Struthio camelus: one gene and its partner. The protein of the gene in region 1 purifies or fractionates together with the protein of each later gene. This does not show direct contact. Links are inferred from orthologs where the notes say so. Each region holds a gene or a part of one and is shown on either strand. Other genes may lie near its edges.

Region 1 (7,652 bases):
CTGTAAATCAGCGGCTTTGTTGTTGTACTATTAACTATCTGTTCCAGTTGTGCACCCTCACACTCTCAGAAAACCCCCTTCAGTGCTGGCCGGGCTCTCCCCAGTTTCCCCACGGCCCGCGGTATCGCTTTCACACCAGGGCCCGCTGCAGCCTTGGCGGTGGCTCTGCGGGGCTCGCGGGCGCAGATCCCTTCCCTGAACTAACCCCCCGCGAGGCTGCAAGCCCTGCTGCGCCTTGCGAGCAGGGGAGCAGCTGGCAGCGGGAGGGCCCCAGCCTGCGGCACTACGCACAGCCAACAGGGAAGCCGAGGAAAAGAGGCAACTTGTCCCCACCGGCCAGGGAACAGGCACCAGGACGCGCCTTCTCCTCCCCGTGCTCGGCCAGCCACCCTGCCCGCAGCCCGTCCCTTCCTAACACCGCCTTTCCCGCCCGAGCCCGCAGCCGGAGCGCCCGCGCAGGGGCGGCTGCCGGGGCCATAGCCGGCCCCCTCGGGCCTCCCGCCCGCTGCCCCCTTACCTCCAGCCCCAGTGCCCGGCACGGCCAGCTCGCCCCGGCCGCTGCCCCGGGAAAGTCCCGGCCCGGCTCCGCCTCCCGGGGCTTCCCGGCCCCGGCTCCGCCCCGAGGCCCCGGGCCGGGCGCCGCCTGCGCCGCCCCGACGGGGCGGCCGGGCAGGGCCGGGGCGGCGCGGCCTCCCCTGCCCCGGCCTCACCGGGACAGCCGCGGGGGGCACCCCCCGGCCCTGCCCGCCGCGTCCCTGCCCCCCCGAGGGTTTTTAAGCCACTCCGAGCCGCTGGAGCAGGGGACAAGCAGGTGACAACGATGCTTGGCTGCATCGTGGCCGGCACCCCGCTCGCGGGCAGCTACCTCGGGGCAGCCCCGGTTCCCCTCATTTTGCTGCAAGTCAGGCCCGTGTGGGCCAGCTGCAGCCAGCACAGCCACCGGCACCTCCGGCCCCACGTCGGGGATGGCATCCGCCGGGCCTCTCGGTGTCACAGTCACCCAGCAGCCGCACACGAACCGGCACCCTCCCGCCAGCGGGCACTTGTGGGAGTGCTGAGTTACCCCCGCTGCACCCCCCTGGCTGGAGTCAGGACATGCGCTACCGAGGAGCCCGCCCCTGCTCCCCTGAGCACAGCCCCGGACCCCGGCAGACCCTGCAGCAGGGGTTACCGCCTTCTGCTGCCTGCCTCAGCACGGCCCCGGTGAGGTGACACCCAGGCACAGAAATGCAGGCACAGATGTCCTTCTGCCACCTCTGCTGCAGGGGGCAGAGACCAGGACAGATAGGCAGGGATAGCGACTTCTTCACTGCATTGTGAAACCTCTTGTCTTTCACCATCCTGGACTTGGGAACAGGAAGCTGTGCCAGCAGCAAGTGACACCAGCAAAGGGCTCGTGGCCACCAGCCAGGGGCTGTGGGGACCTGGAGGACCACTTGGCTCCGGCTCATCCCAAGGCCAGGAGACACCCAGCCCTCAGCAGCAGGGAAGGCATGTCTGCTTCACACTTGCCTGATTTTCACTTTTATTATTGCAAATTCACTGTTCTCTCTTTATAAATTTTTAAACATATATTATATATAAAAGTCAGAAATGCTCCTCTTCCAGCTATGTATACTGGCGGATTTATAGGCCAGTTTTGAGAAGGTGGGCAAATCAGGAAGCACAACCTGATCAACACGCACAGCAGCAGCAAATGCCCCTCTCAAGAGACGAGGGGAGAATTTTTTTATATATATATATGTAGATATATACATACATATATATGTAGATATAGACATACATACACACACACACACAGACATACACACACACTCTTCACCCTCCATCGTCCCGCAGCCCGCTGCCAGCCCACCCCCTGCCCAGGACACCCTCAGTGGGACGCGGCCAGGGGCCGAGCAGGGCTGCCGGACGACGGCCGGGCTCTGGGCACCTTGGCTGCCCTCACCCCTGGGCGCCGACACACGAGCCCGCAGGGCCGACCGGCGGCGCTCCCGGCTGAGCGCTGCTGGAAGGCACCACGCAGATACGGGCACCAGAGGACAGATCCGGCGTCGGAGCCGAGCTGGCCGCAGGCTTTTGTTCCCAGAGCAAGCGTTGCGCGTTTCCGCGCCTCCGCTTCCCGGTAGGGAGGGCTGGCAGCAGCCTGCCCCCAGCGTAGGAAACCCAGGATTGCGATGCGCAGCCTCTCGGGCTGCAGCGCGTGAGAACGGCCGCGGTACAGCTGAGGTCGGCTGCGCGGGCGAGGGGAAATCCCCCGCCGCGAGGACGGGCTTGCGCAAGCGCCAGAGCGAGCCTCTCCGGAGGCACGGCCCCACCAGGGAAGAGCCACCTCCACGCAGGGTGCGCAGGCGGACTGGCATCAGCACCAACTCACTAGGGAGGGAAAAGGCACTTTGTTTTTTGGCTCCTCCGATGTGGTCACAGCAGCTGGCTAAAAGGCTCGCTGCACGGCTAGCTGCAGCCGCCCCGTGGCAGCAGAGGAGGGAGGAAGCGGTTCCCTGCCCGGCGCACACGGCCTCGGTGCTCCGCAGGAATCGCGTTTCTGCAGATGAGGGGTGGGAGGAAGGTGACTGCTGCTCCCCGAAACGCACGTCCCATCGGAAAGGGGTCGTCCGTGATCGTCTCCATGTCACCGCCCAGGACTCAGCAAGGGCAATCCTGGAGTCTCTAGGGGCGAGCAGCCCCACCTCGGCCAAGCAGCCCTGGGCTGGCAGCACCCGTCGCCCGCCAGCACCTCCCACCCAGAGCTCCTTGGAGAGCTGCTGCCCTTCCCCGCACAGCGCTGTCGTGCTGGGGCAGCACGTCCACGGCCCCTCGGGAGGGGAGGGCAGGGCACCGACCGGCGTGCACCCACGCATACACGCACACGCACCCAGAGGCGATCGGGGTCTCGGGGCCGTTCGAGGCAGGGGAATCACTCGCACAGTCTGATTTCCTGGTCCCTGCTGCAGCCTTAGGGCTGCGTCCCGCCGGGGTCAGATCATCGCCAGGCCCTCCGCGTGGCTGTGGATGTGGGCGGTGCTGGACACGCTGCTCTCAGTTTTGTAACTCTTGGGGGCCCGGCTGGCTTTCAGGAGGACCAGGAAGGTGTCCGTGGAGATGGCCCCAAACTCGAAGGTGAAGGTGCCGTAGAAGACCAGGACATCGATGATGAACATCCACTCACACAGGGCGGCCACGTGCTGCAGCACGAAGCTCTCCTGGATGAAGAAGACACCGCCTGAGGGTGTCTGAGTCAAGGAAAGCATCGCCAGACCCCAGGCACCCAGAGGCACAGCCCCTGGAGGCGTGCTGTCCTAAACCGTCCCCAGCTCTGCAGGCCCCCTGCGTCCCGCAGCGGCTCGGTAGGAACCCGGTCCCAGGCTCACCCAGCGCCTCGTGGGCGAGCAGCAGCTCAGTGCTGCCCCGGTGGCTTCTCTGGGCTTGCTGGGGCATCAGGAGAGCAGCCTGTTGGCCCTCGCTCTGCACCCCACGTCTGAGAGGTGCCGAGCTGGCATCGCCGCCACCTTTGGAGCGTGCTGACAGGGAGACCTGCGAGCAGCCTGATAATGAATCTGCCAACTCCAGCCCCGGGTCAGGGCAGCACCAACCAGGCAGAGCAGGGTGGGAGAGGACTGCCTGCCACGACCTTAACCATCACTTGCTTCCATCTTTCCAGCGCAAAGGCTGTCAACAAGATGGAGAGCTAAGCGTAGCCCCTGTTCTCCCTCCCCCAAATCTCTGATGCCAGCCAAAAGCACAACCCCACTTCGTGCAGCCACTACCCCTGCCCTGTGACACTCCGGTCACCCTGGCAATTCACAGGACCGCTGCCAGCTGGGGGTTTTCTGAAGATGCCATGGGAAGGAGGAACTCAGTCTGCAGTCCGCAGGGTAACAGCCTGGTGCCTGCTGCATAGGGCAGACGGTCTGCCCAAATACCCCGACACACAACCATCTGCTGTTCCTCAGACTGGGCTTTCTCCGATACTCCCAGTCCTCCTGCTGGACAAACATTCAAAGTCTACAAAACTCATCAGCCCTTGACCCTCTTGGTGGCGTGGTCTGGGCTGCTGCCTCCCTGCCCTGCAGCAGCTCCCTCCAGCCCCCCTTCCCTCAGTGCTGCCCTGGGGGTTACCCTGGAGAGGGATCGTGCTGCCTCCCAAGGTCTTCCAAGGTGCTACCCCTCCCGTAACTTTTTTATGTTCTTCTTGTCCTTGCATTTCTCCAGGGAAACCTAATTCCAGAGTCACTCTAGGCAAGAGAGACATCCCTCAACCCTGCCGTGCCAGGCAGCTGGATCAGTCTCTTGTTATATAGTACACCGTTTTAGGAAACCCCCTTCCCTCTTGAGTCAAACGCCTCCCACAAGTTGCAGCTTGCTATTGGAGAGCCCAGGATGTGCCAGGTGAAGCCTCCTGCAGTACCCTGCCTCCTGCCAGGGGCATCCAGGCCCAGGAGAGAGAGTGAGAGGGAGGACCCCGACCTGCACAGGGCAGGCCCCTCTGCTTGCCCTCTCTAGTCGCTCCAGGAATGGTCCCACACATTTACCCCACATCTGCCCCCACCGCAGCTCCACGCTTTTCCCATTTCTAGTCCCGAGTGCCAGCAAGGCCAGCGGCCCTCCAGCCCCTTTGGGACCTGCGGACACTTTGTGCTCTTTCCCCTTCCTGCCCATATAACCACCACCTCGTTTCCCAGTTTATCCCTAAGGTCAGTCCCAAAGAAGTCCACGGTGCCCCGGCCAGACACGCAGGTCCGTGCTTCCAGCGACCGCTTAGCCTGTTGTCGTGCCCTGCCTCCCTGTCGTGCCGCTGGCAGACCCAAGCTCTCCCTCGTCCTGCCGGGCAGGCCAGCCCCGTGGTTTCCTGGAGCGCCCCTCTCCCACAGGACCCCGCATCCGCTGGCGTCCGCAAAAGCACAGCCGCACTCTGCTTCTCCTTCAGCCTAACGTTTGCCAGTTGGACAGCCGTCCGCATCTTAGCTGGCCTTGGCACTACCAAAGGCTCAAAATACCTTTGTCTCATTAATACACTGGCCCCTGTGCTCCGTGCACAAGCGGGACGAGACAGGCTCTCCCCCAGGCACCTCACCCTCCAAAGGGGGGGCAGGCTGCGAGCCCGCAGGGGTGGGATTCGAACCTGCCGCCCGGGGCTGCCGCCCAGCCTGCTCTGCGGGGCTACTGCCTTCATGTGGATGGCACGGCTCTCTGCAGCCAGCCGGGACCTCCCAGCGGCTGAGCTGGGCTGCGGCTGCCGAGAGGAACGGTCCGGCCTGAGCCCACCTAGGGCACCGCTCCATACCACGTCCTGGTCCCCGAGAGGCACCGGCAGCAAGTGTGAAACGTCTGGGCAGAAGGCATGTCCCTCCCCTTCCTCTTCCCTCAGCCTCCTCCCTTCCACTCCCCTGCCGCTCTCCGCCGCTCCCGCTGCCCGGCACAGCCCCGATGCTGCTGCTCCGCCAGCAGGTCCGCGCCGAGCCGCCCACCCTGCCCTGCCGGGGCCTCGTTCCCGCCGTCAGATTGAGGGCCGGGGAACACGCCGCAGGCGCCCCCTGCCCCACGGCCATCCTCTGCGCAGGGCCTGGGGCCTCTCGCCAGCCCGTCCCGGGAGACCTCCTCCCCGCATGCTGCTGTGCAAAGGATACTGAAGACGAGGGTGATGAAGGCCATGGCAGTGAGGATGCTACGCAAGTGGCCGGTCCAGTAATGCCCGCGGGTTTTGGCCATGCGGTACGTGAGGATGGACTGCAGGAACACGAACAGCATACTGGTGGGAAACGCCACCCCAGCACCGATGTAATGCAGCACCTTGGCATGATCCACCTGCGGGGAGAGAGCGCCAGCGCTGGCACCGCGGGGTGCACCCGGCACGACCGGGCTCTGCCCCCCTCTCCGCTCCCACAGGGTGCAAACCCCGCTGCGAGCCAGCGCCCCATTCCCGCGGCTGCAGCTCCCTGGAGCAGGCGGTGCCCGGGCAGCGGGACGGCCGAGCCCCAGGACCGCCAGGGAGAGCACCCCGGGCTGGGTGCTCGACTGAAGGGCACATTTAGACCCATCCACTGCTGCCAGGATCTCAAAGCGCATCTGCTTCCTCGATGCGTGGGACACCTCTGGCTTAGAGCCCCGCTGCGCGCAAGGCCATCGGGCAGGGGAAGCCCTGCGCCCATCTGCCAGCCTGGGACTGTCCCCGCCTTGTCCCTCGCTCCCGGCCTCCCGGGCCGACACAGCCCCTGCCCTCAGCCGAGCTGGTTGAGGCAGGGCTGGGGTGCGAGGTGAGGGCTCGGGGCCAGCTACGCTTCGTCCCTGCAGCGCCCGCAGCAGCCTCCTGCAAAGCGGAAGGGGAAACTGCTGCCAAGGAGGCGCGGGCAGGCGGCTGCGGCAGGGGCCGGGCTCCGGCGGCGCTGGCGCAGGGCACCCCGGCCGCGGCACCCGGCCGGGCTCACCTGCTTCTTGACCCTGCGAGCAGGCAGGGCCAGCCGCCCTCCCCGCGGCCGGACCGCCAGGGCAGAAAAGCAGCGCCAGAAGAGAGCAGCGTCTGCCGGCATCACCTCTGCAGGAGCAAGCATCCCCCGGGAGGGCAGGGCAGAGGGAGCCAGGCCAGGCCGCTGCGCCGGCAGCGATCGGCGCGCAGGGCGGCGGGTGCCTCCACGACCGCCCCGCCGGGCGCAGCCTCCGGCCGCGGCGGCCCCCGCTCGCAGCGAGCTCGGAGCGCGTCCGGGACAGCAGCCGCCCATGAGGCCGGCCGGCCGGCCCAGGGCGCACCAGCACCCGGCCCAGGGCAGCCGATTGCCCAAACGTTTGCTTTAGGAGATAAGGGTTAAACCAAAGCCGGCAGCGTAGTCGGGATCCGAAATCGTGAGTGTGTAAGCAAGGAGGAAACGCAGGGAGGAGCCGCAGCGTGCGGACGAGGTGGGGGAGCGCCTGAACCAGAACAAAACAACAGCCCCCCAAACCCCTCACAGCCGAGCGCTGCAACCCCCCCCCCAAAGGGCTGGGACACGAGCCCCGGGCAGCGCCGGGCTCCTGGCTCCGGGCCCCGGCCAGGGCCCAGCAGGGACCACCGCCCTGCCCCGGAGGAGCAGCCTTACCTGGAAGTTGCCGACCATGGTGAGGCCGGCGGCGCAGACCCAGCCGGTGGCCAGCCCCAGGGTGTTGAGGAGCGAGGGCCCGCAGCGCTCCAAGACGTGGGCGTACCGCAACAGCCCCACCAGGATCACTGCGGGACGCAGACAGGGCGCCGGTCGCGCACCGCCGGCGGCAGCCTCCCGCCGCCTCGCCAGGGGCCGGGGCAGCTCCGCCGGGCGCCCAGCACCCCTCGGCACCGCGCGCTTACCCATGAACGAGCCCAGGCTGCAGATGAGGCTGAAGAAGCAGCTCTCGGGAGGCAGGGTGCCACACTTGCTGCGGGGAGAAGGCGGCGGGTGGGCGGGCGGGCACCTGCTGCTGCCGCCGGGCCAGCCCGCGCCCTCCCTCCGAGCAGCTCCTCACCTGACCAGGGGGATGTGATCCAGCGTGCAGCACGAGCCGGGGCCGTCCACACCGCACGACTGGTTGTAGTTCCTGGGGGGAGCAAAGGAAGGGGCTCGGAGAGCGGGCACGGCGGGCAGGGGCCGCCTGCCGAGCCTGCAGGCAGCCCGGCCCCGGCCACGCTCGGCGCTGCAGCAGGAGGG
Region 2 (7,536 bases), about 20 Mb from region 1:
TCATTTACAGAAGGGCAGTTTCCGGTTTAGAAGGAAACAGGGAAGTCTTGAAAGTTTTAGCGGTCCCAGTCTAGCACAAGAGAATCAAGATCCTTCCTTGTAGCTGAAAACAACACAACACTGGACACCCGTGAATTAAAAACAGATCAGACTTCAAACAGATACAGGCACGCAGCAGCAAATTCAGTCATGGTGGGTGCTAACATCGAGGCTACAGGAAACGGCATTAATGCTGATGCGGTCCTATGAAAGGAGACACTACTTCAGGATAAAGTAATATCTGCCCTTGGATTATCCCCTCTATCACCTGGTCTCATAGCACAAGCCTCACTTCACACTTACGTTTTTTACTACACGTCTACCTCCCTCCACCTGCAATATACGTGGTTTCACAGACAATCAGTTAGGAAAAGAGCATTAACTCCACTCGTTTTCCTACGTGTGTCAAAGCAAAGCAGAACTTACCTTCCGGAGGTCACCTCCTGAACAATATTCCATTGCCAGAAGAGGAACGTCATTAACAAGAAAGTTCATCTCCTCGGGAACTTCACAGGCTCTTACTACATTGGGATGGTTCAACCTAGGCACACGGAGAGCCTGATGAAAAGTTTGACCCCTCTTTTGGGAGAGCAAGACTGCCAACCAACCGTGCTTTATGTTTCAGGTAAGATCTCCCCAAACTTACTGCTGCCCAGTACCGAAATGCATCAGATCCATACCTTGTGAATACACAAACCAGTGATGAGCAGAACATGGTCTCCAAGTCAAGATACAGGACTTGGATGATGGAGATCCAAGCTCAAGTTCTGGATTTCTGCACATTCTTGGCACAGTCATTTCATATGTGTTTCTATTTCTGCATGTAGAAGCAGTTTCCCTTTAGTCCAGAAGTTTTACAGGAATATGTTAACACTTGTGTAATTGTTCTATAGAAGTAGAACCACGCACGTAAAATAAATGTACGCTGGGAAGAAATCATTTGGGTAACTACATTCAAACAGCTTTTCCTCACTGTCTCAAAATATGCTATTCTCAGGAATAAAACACACATCTAGAAAGAAGATAAATTACTCCAACATACAAAGTCCAAAGTCTCTGGGAGTTACCACAAAAGACGCTGTAGAGGTACAATTCAGTGCCTATATTCAGACTATGAATATAGTTTTGCAGTGAAAACGTTGATAGAAACAGTGATCACCCAATACTGAATTGCAAACTCAGCTCTAACACGATACCTGCAAGTGGTTTCCTCCACTATTGATAACATAATGTGAAAGCAGCATGTATGTAAGCAGATCAGCGTGACAAGGGACAGTATGACCTCAGTAAAGCTCCATGCAGCATGGGTACAGCAAAGGGTTTTGAGTTGTTGGAGAACTACTCAAAATAAAACTCTGGAAGGGTGTCCTTGCTCCTGCCAGCAGGACTGTACATGTCATGCTACAGGATCTCCCTCGAGAGGAAGCAGTTCCCATGATGAGGAAACAGCTCCACGAGATCCCTGACACCCAGAGAAATAATTGAGCAACTCTGTCCATGAGGATGAATTTCACCTGCTCTGTTTCACAGGTATCTCAGAGTGACATGCTGGAGAGGGACTGCGGGTTGCCCAGGGTGAGTAACCTCTTCTTAAAAAGAGCTGGGAGACGTTACTCAGTAAGAATGAGAACGTCACAGAAAACGGTTATTCCCAGATCCCTAATTGCCAGATCACAGCCCGATGCACGGGCCAGTATAGAAGCACACAGGTGTCTGGACGTCACTATGTCCTGAGCAAACAGATGGACCAACACATAAGTGCAGGGGGGATGGTTATCACTAGGTCCCAATCCAACACGCTAGATGGTACATGAGAGCAGAAGGGCTCAGAACATCGGCAGATCACAGCCTGACACACCAGCTGGTACACCAGTGCAGAGGGGTTTGAATGTCACTAGATCCCAGCCCTAAACGCTGGTCACATAGGAGCCCAGGGGACCTGGCTGTCACTAGACTCCAGCTCCACACATCGGCTGTGCATGAACCCAGTGGGTCCGGCTGTCACTAGACCCCCACCCCACACACTGGCCACACGTGTGCAAGCGCTCTGACTCTCACTTAAACCCCTATTCCACATACTGGCCGTATACAAGCCCAGGGTGGGAAGGCTGGCTATCTCTAGAACCCTTGTCCCACACACCAGCCACATGCGAGCCCGGAGGGGCTGCCTGTCACTGCAGACCCCCATATCACACACAGGCCATACGTGACCACAGGGGGCTGGCTGTTACTAGATCCCCCTCCCACATACTGGCTGAATGTGACCACAATGGTCTGGCTGTCACTAGACCCCCCCATGCGAAACACTAGCCCCATGTCAGCCCAGGAGTCTGGCTGTCACCAGACCCCCATCACACATACCAGAGAAACGCGGGCGCTGGGGTCCGGCTTTCGCTAGACTCCCATGACACGTACCAACGGTAAGGGAGGCCAGGGGGCTGGCTGTCACTAGACCCCCCACTCCACTCAACAGGGTCTGGCTGTCACTAGACCCCAACCCATGCACTGGTCAAATGCAAGTACAGGGGGGTCCAGCTGTCACTAGACCCCCACCCCACACAGCAGCTGAATCAGACCCAGGGGGTCTGGCTGGTCCCCGCATGCCGGGCTGCGCGTTAGGGGCAGAAGGGGCGGCGGGAGCGAGCGCGCTGGCAGCCCCCGGGGCAGAGGCAGCCGAGGCTTGGGCGGCGCCCCGCTCCAGCGGCGGGGCCGGGCCCGGCCGCACTCACTTCTTCATGATGTCGATCTCGTGGCACCAGCGGTCCTTGTTCTTGACGCTGAGCTCCAGTCGGCACGACTTGATCGCCACCTTGGCGCCCGAGTCCTGCGGGACACAGCGCCGTCAGAGGGCCCGGCGCAGCGCGCACCGCCCCGCTCCCCCGGCCCGGCGCCCACCTGGTGCTGGTAGAGGCAGACGTTGCCGAAGCCGCCGGTGCCCAGGCGGTCCCGCATCTCCCAGGGGCCGCAGCCGCCCGCCGGCTGCCCCCGCAGCGCCGCGCCGCCGGGCGCCCGCTCCATGCCGCCTCCGCCGCCCCCCGGACCGCGCCGCAGCCACTCAGCGCCCCGCGCCACACCGCCTTTATTGCCGCGTCACAGAAGAGCGCGCGCGCGCGCGCGCGTGCGTCACGCCGCGCCGCCCATCGCCGCACGTCCGCCGCCGCCGTCAGTGCTGCAGGCCGAAGTCGAAGGGCTGGAAGTCGCGGCGGAAGGCCTGGGCGGCGGCCGCCTCCTCGGGTCGCGCCGCCGTGCACTGCCGCCAGTCGGCGCGGTGGGGCAACCCCAGCAGGGCCGCGCTCGCCAGCACCTCCCTGCAAGCACAGCCGCGTCAGCCGCCCGGCGTGACGTCACGGCGCCCCCCACACCCTCCCCCGGCCTGGCGTGAGGCCACGGCGGCCCCACACCCCTCCCCTGCCCGGTGTGACGTCACAGCACCCCTCCCAGGCCCCCCTCTGCCCGGCCCAACATCACAGTGCCCCCACAGGCCCCCCTCCGCCCAGCGTGATGTCACAGCACCCCCTCCACACTCCTCCCCCACCCAGCGTGACGTCACAGCACCCCCACACCCCTCCCCTGCCCGGTGTGACATCACAGCACCCCCCCGGCGTGACATCACAGCACCCCCACCCACCCAACAGGCCCTGTGGCATGAGAGCTGCCGCACCCCATGCGCCACTCTGCTTCACCACAGCATGAGGGAGGAGAGAAAAGGGCAAAAAACACCAAACCCCCAAACCTGCCAAACTGCAGCGGAAAGCTTTTCCGGATGCGGTGGAAAAGCTTCTCGCCCGTGTCCAGCTCCACGTAGAAATAGGGTGTCCCCGGCTGGGCTACCTAGGTGGGGGAAGAAAGAAAGGGGGGAAAAAAAAAAAAAAAGAAGATGAAACCTTGCTGAAAGATGGAGCCCAGAAAAAGGGTCCCTGCTGACCTCCAAGCAGCAGGGAACTGCCAGCTGTCAGGCCCCTTATTGCCTCAGGGGAGCAAGGGCAGCTTTTAACAGTGGCAGGGCAACACTGACTATTTTCACGCCAGTCTTCCAAGTAATGTTAAATTCATCTTGGTATTTCAAATGGGTTCTAACCCAACAGCGGAGCAGAATAACTACCCTAGTTCTGTTATTTAAAAATGACAGGGTTTCATAAGAGACTGGCTTTGAACTACAGCAAGAAAAGTGCATTTTTTGGACACTGTAACAGATGTCGATGACTACACTTGGATGATTATACTTGAACCGTGATTCAACTGAATATTAGAGTTAGGGAAACCCAAGCTTCCTGTGGATTCTTCTGCCAAGACTGACCCGAGACCATGCAGATCCTGAAGTTTAAATGTGCCTATGCACCAAAAAACCCCCCAGGGCTTTACCCTGTGGGTTGTCCAGTCCTGGCTGAGTTCACTCCAAAGCCTTTTCATCAATGAAACACCAAAAAAGGCCCTCTCCTAAGTATTTCTTGTGAGTAGCCATGTCCTAGAAGTCGGCCCCACTCTGTCAAAGAGCTGATGCTTCCTAACAAGGAGGACCCTAGCTGTGTTTTAGTTTCCTTTGCAAAGCAAATTGAAAGTCAGATTAGAACACACAAACAGGAACAAACTGGGTCAATGGTAGATCTCAAAACATAGCTCATGACAGATGTGAAGCGATGGATTGCTTTCAGCCGGGATCAGTTTGTACACTTGCATATGGAGCACCATGAGCACAATGCTACATTTTTGTGGACTAATTCTGCAGAATGACACCTCTAGTAAGAGTGATCATAATTGCCTAGCTAAGTCATCCCAAGCTAATACAGCATATTGTAGATAAAAAAAATCACATGAGAGTAAATTTACACTTCTCAGCTAAAAAAAAAAACCCTAAGTTTTCTGACACAGATATAAATACTTGTAATAGCTTAGAAAGTAACTAGCATAAATATGTGCTGTTTCTGGGTCCTGCTGCAGATATGGTCTCCCTGTGATTATTGGTTACAGAGAAGCCTATATCACTAGACTAATTTCTCTGGTACAACAGGAATATTTCTTCCAAATCCTGATCCAAGGGAATTTAAAGCTACCTGCTTTGCACTGACACAGAAAGGGCTGCTTTGGTATCACTAGCAGTGAGTGCAGCAACCTGTGCACAGAGCTGGGGTAGCAGGGCAAGGGTTATCTTTTACATTCCTGTCCTCAAAGTCAGATTTCTGCCTTACCTTTCTGCCTAACCTATATTTGGAGTTTCTCCTCGAGTAAACACTCAGCTGCTCCGAGAAAACTAAAGGACATCTTCGTAAATCGCACCAGGATAGCAGTGCTATCTAGTGCACCTAGCAGCATAGGCTTCATTCATATGAAAAGCAAGTATTGATCATCTTGGAGAGCCTAAGGTGTATAACTGCTGTAGGCAGATAAAGGCCTTAATTTGCAAAGAAGCAAATCATCTGTCATTCACTGTGACTTCATCCAGAAGTGAAAACCTCGGGCATATCTGCAACTCAAGTCTATGGCAGTCTACCTCCAACAGCTTAGTCTTACCATGCAAAGCGACCCCAGAGTGAAATACCAGCTTAGAAAGGATTGAGGTGAGGTAAACGACAGGTGAAATCTTGTCTCATACTTGCTTGATATCTGAGTGCTCTGGGATCTCTAACAATTCAATCTGTTGTTCCTGTGCCTGTACAATAAAGGACTCTTTAATGTCTTCAGAAGTACAGAGGTCCAACGGGACAGGAATCACCTGGAGAGCATGGACAACATTTTCATAACGAGAAAAGACAAACCATTTACTCTCAGAAAGCAATAAATCCATCACTGGAGCTGGTATGCTCCTCAGTACTGCTCGTCATCATCATATAAGACAGGTGAGCACCTATCTATACAGGCTTAAACTTATGAGAGATTTTTCTGTAGGAGTTGAACAGAAAACTGAAAACTAATAGCCTGAAAGAGTTCTCAGAACGGTCACCCTCCTTTCTGATCTTTGTGGTAGTTTAAGGCCGCTCTGATACAGTTACAGATCTGCCAGATACAGAAACCACCACAATAAACCACCAAGTGATTAACATACAGGAAACAATCAAATCAAAAGGTTATTCATTGTCTACCAATACCAGAGCTCTGCAGGTGTATTTCTAGATTTTCAGCCTACTTCAGTTACAGCATGAGTACCACAGTTCATGTGCCAGTATGAGCGGATAAGAGTACGAGCAAAGTCTTCCAACTCATCTGTACACATTGTGAGCTTTTTAATCAGGGTCATGAGGGGAAAAACAGTTGTATCTCACTCACTCTACACAAATCAACCCTGTGCCTGCTGTAACAGGAAAAACAAGGACTGCGGCAGAATAAGCACCCAGGCTTTGTTTTTGTTCTGCCTCTATCCTTGGGTAAGATGATTTCTATCCATACTCTGTGAAGGCACAGAGGAAAGAGGGAAGTTTGAGAGTGAGCCGTCTCTTTCAACATACTGGCATGTAAGCTCAGGTTGCGCTCTTCTGCTATTGTACTCAAATCATACCTGTAACTGCAGATGCTGACTCCTATAGTTTCTTTCAAATAAGACATATCTCTTTCCCTTGCTTCTGAAAAATTCCTTTAAGACAGATTTGTACTTGGTCACTTCTTCCACCACCTCTGAAGACAGGTCAACTACGGACTGATAGTGCCCAATAGGCAAAATCAGGACGTGATCAGGTAGTAAGCCACCCTTGGCCAGGGCAAGATAGCACTGGAATGAAACAATATATATCAGTTACTCACTCACTGCAAACACTTACCATGCTGTGAAGCTTACCTGTGCTCTCTGACAACATTCTGAGAGCATCCCACAGCCTAGCTATCCCGCATCAGTAAAGCCTCCTTTTCCATGACACTTACTAGAGATTACGTTTATTAGAAATTAATTACTAGATGAACAAGAAAAAGGCAGGGACTACTAAAGAAAAAAAAAGTGCCAGAACATGAGGAAATAAGTTATCTGAAAGAAGGCAAGTGAATGAACCACTGTATCAAGAAATTCTATTAAAACAACAAAAAGAGACAAACAAGAAAACCACTTGAAAACGTACACCTGCATTTAAACTGAACATGTGGACAAATCTGTCCCTATAGCAGTTAGCAGTGTATTACACTAGATAGGAGTAGTAATTTAGGGAAGGTAAAGAGATCAATGATTAATTCAACATCCTCAAGTACATACTGGAGACTAATAACTAAAAACTACGAATCTTCTGTTTAATTTGTATATGACAGAACTGGAACAAATCACCCCAGCGACAGTTGGCATAACTCCAGTCAGTGCATCCTGCTGCCAAGCTGTTGCCAGCTCACACTGAGTTCGCACTGGAAGAGTTTTGTCAGGTGGTAAGATGAAAACCTTTAAGGCTGGCATAGCCAAAAAAGTATTTTGTCAGCATAGTTCAGCTCCGTTGCCTGAGCAAAATAGGGCCATGTTTCATTTTTACAAGTCTGTCTATATACCTGTGTCTTTTAGGGGGAAAATGAAAGAAATTGAAAAGAAAACCA

What was found.
Region 2: the proteins of NFKB2 (region 1) and CHUK purify together in Homo sapiens (affinity purification with western blotting; 4 studies listed by BioGRID and IntAct, with this or other methods). This does not show direct contact. The link is inferred for Struthio camelus from reciprocal best matches to the Homo sapiens genes NFKB2 and CHUK.

What each region holds. Positions count from the first base shown.
Region 1 is NC_090948.1:23,610,522-23,618,173, forward strand, and holds the start of NFKB2 (nuclear factor NF-kappa-B p100 subunit), read right to left. Parts: upstream 2,979-7,652; 5' UTR 2,876-2,978; intron 622-2,875; exon of another isoform or gene 518-621; intron 1-517. Other genes in the region: TMEM150A (transmembrane protein 150A), read right to left, coding at 2,979-3,223, 5,628-5,805, 7,071-7,198, 7,316-7,383, 7,471-7,542. UniProt on the Homo sapiens protein: NF-kappa-B is a pleiotropic transcription factor present in almost all cell types and is the endpoint of a series of signal transduction events that are initiated by a vast array of stimuli related to many biological processes such as inflammation, immunity, differentiation, cell growth, tumorigenesis and apoptosis.
Region 2 is NC_090948.1:43,888,016-43,895,551, forward strand, and holds the start of CHUK (inhibitor of nuclear factor kappa-B kinase subunit alpha), read right to left. Parts: upstream 3,092-7,536; 5' UTR 3,058-3,091; coding exon 2,935-3,057; intron 2,864-2,934; coding exon 2,769-2,863; intron 581-2,768; coding exon 466-580; intron 1-465. Other genes in the region: CWF19L1 (CWF19-like protein 1), read right to left, coding at 3,203-3,347, 3,773-3,870, 5,630-5,749, 6,530-6,739.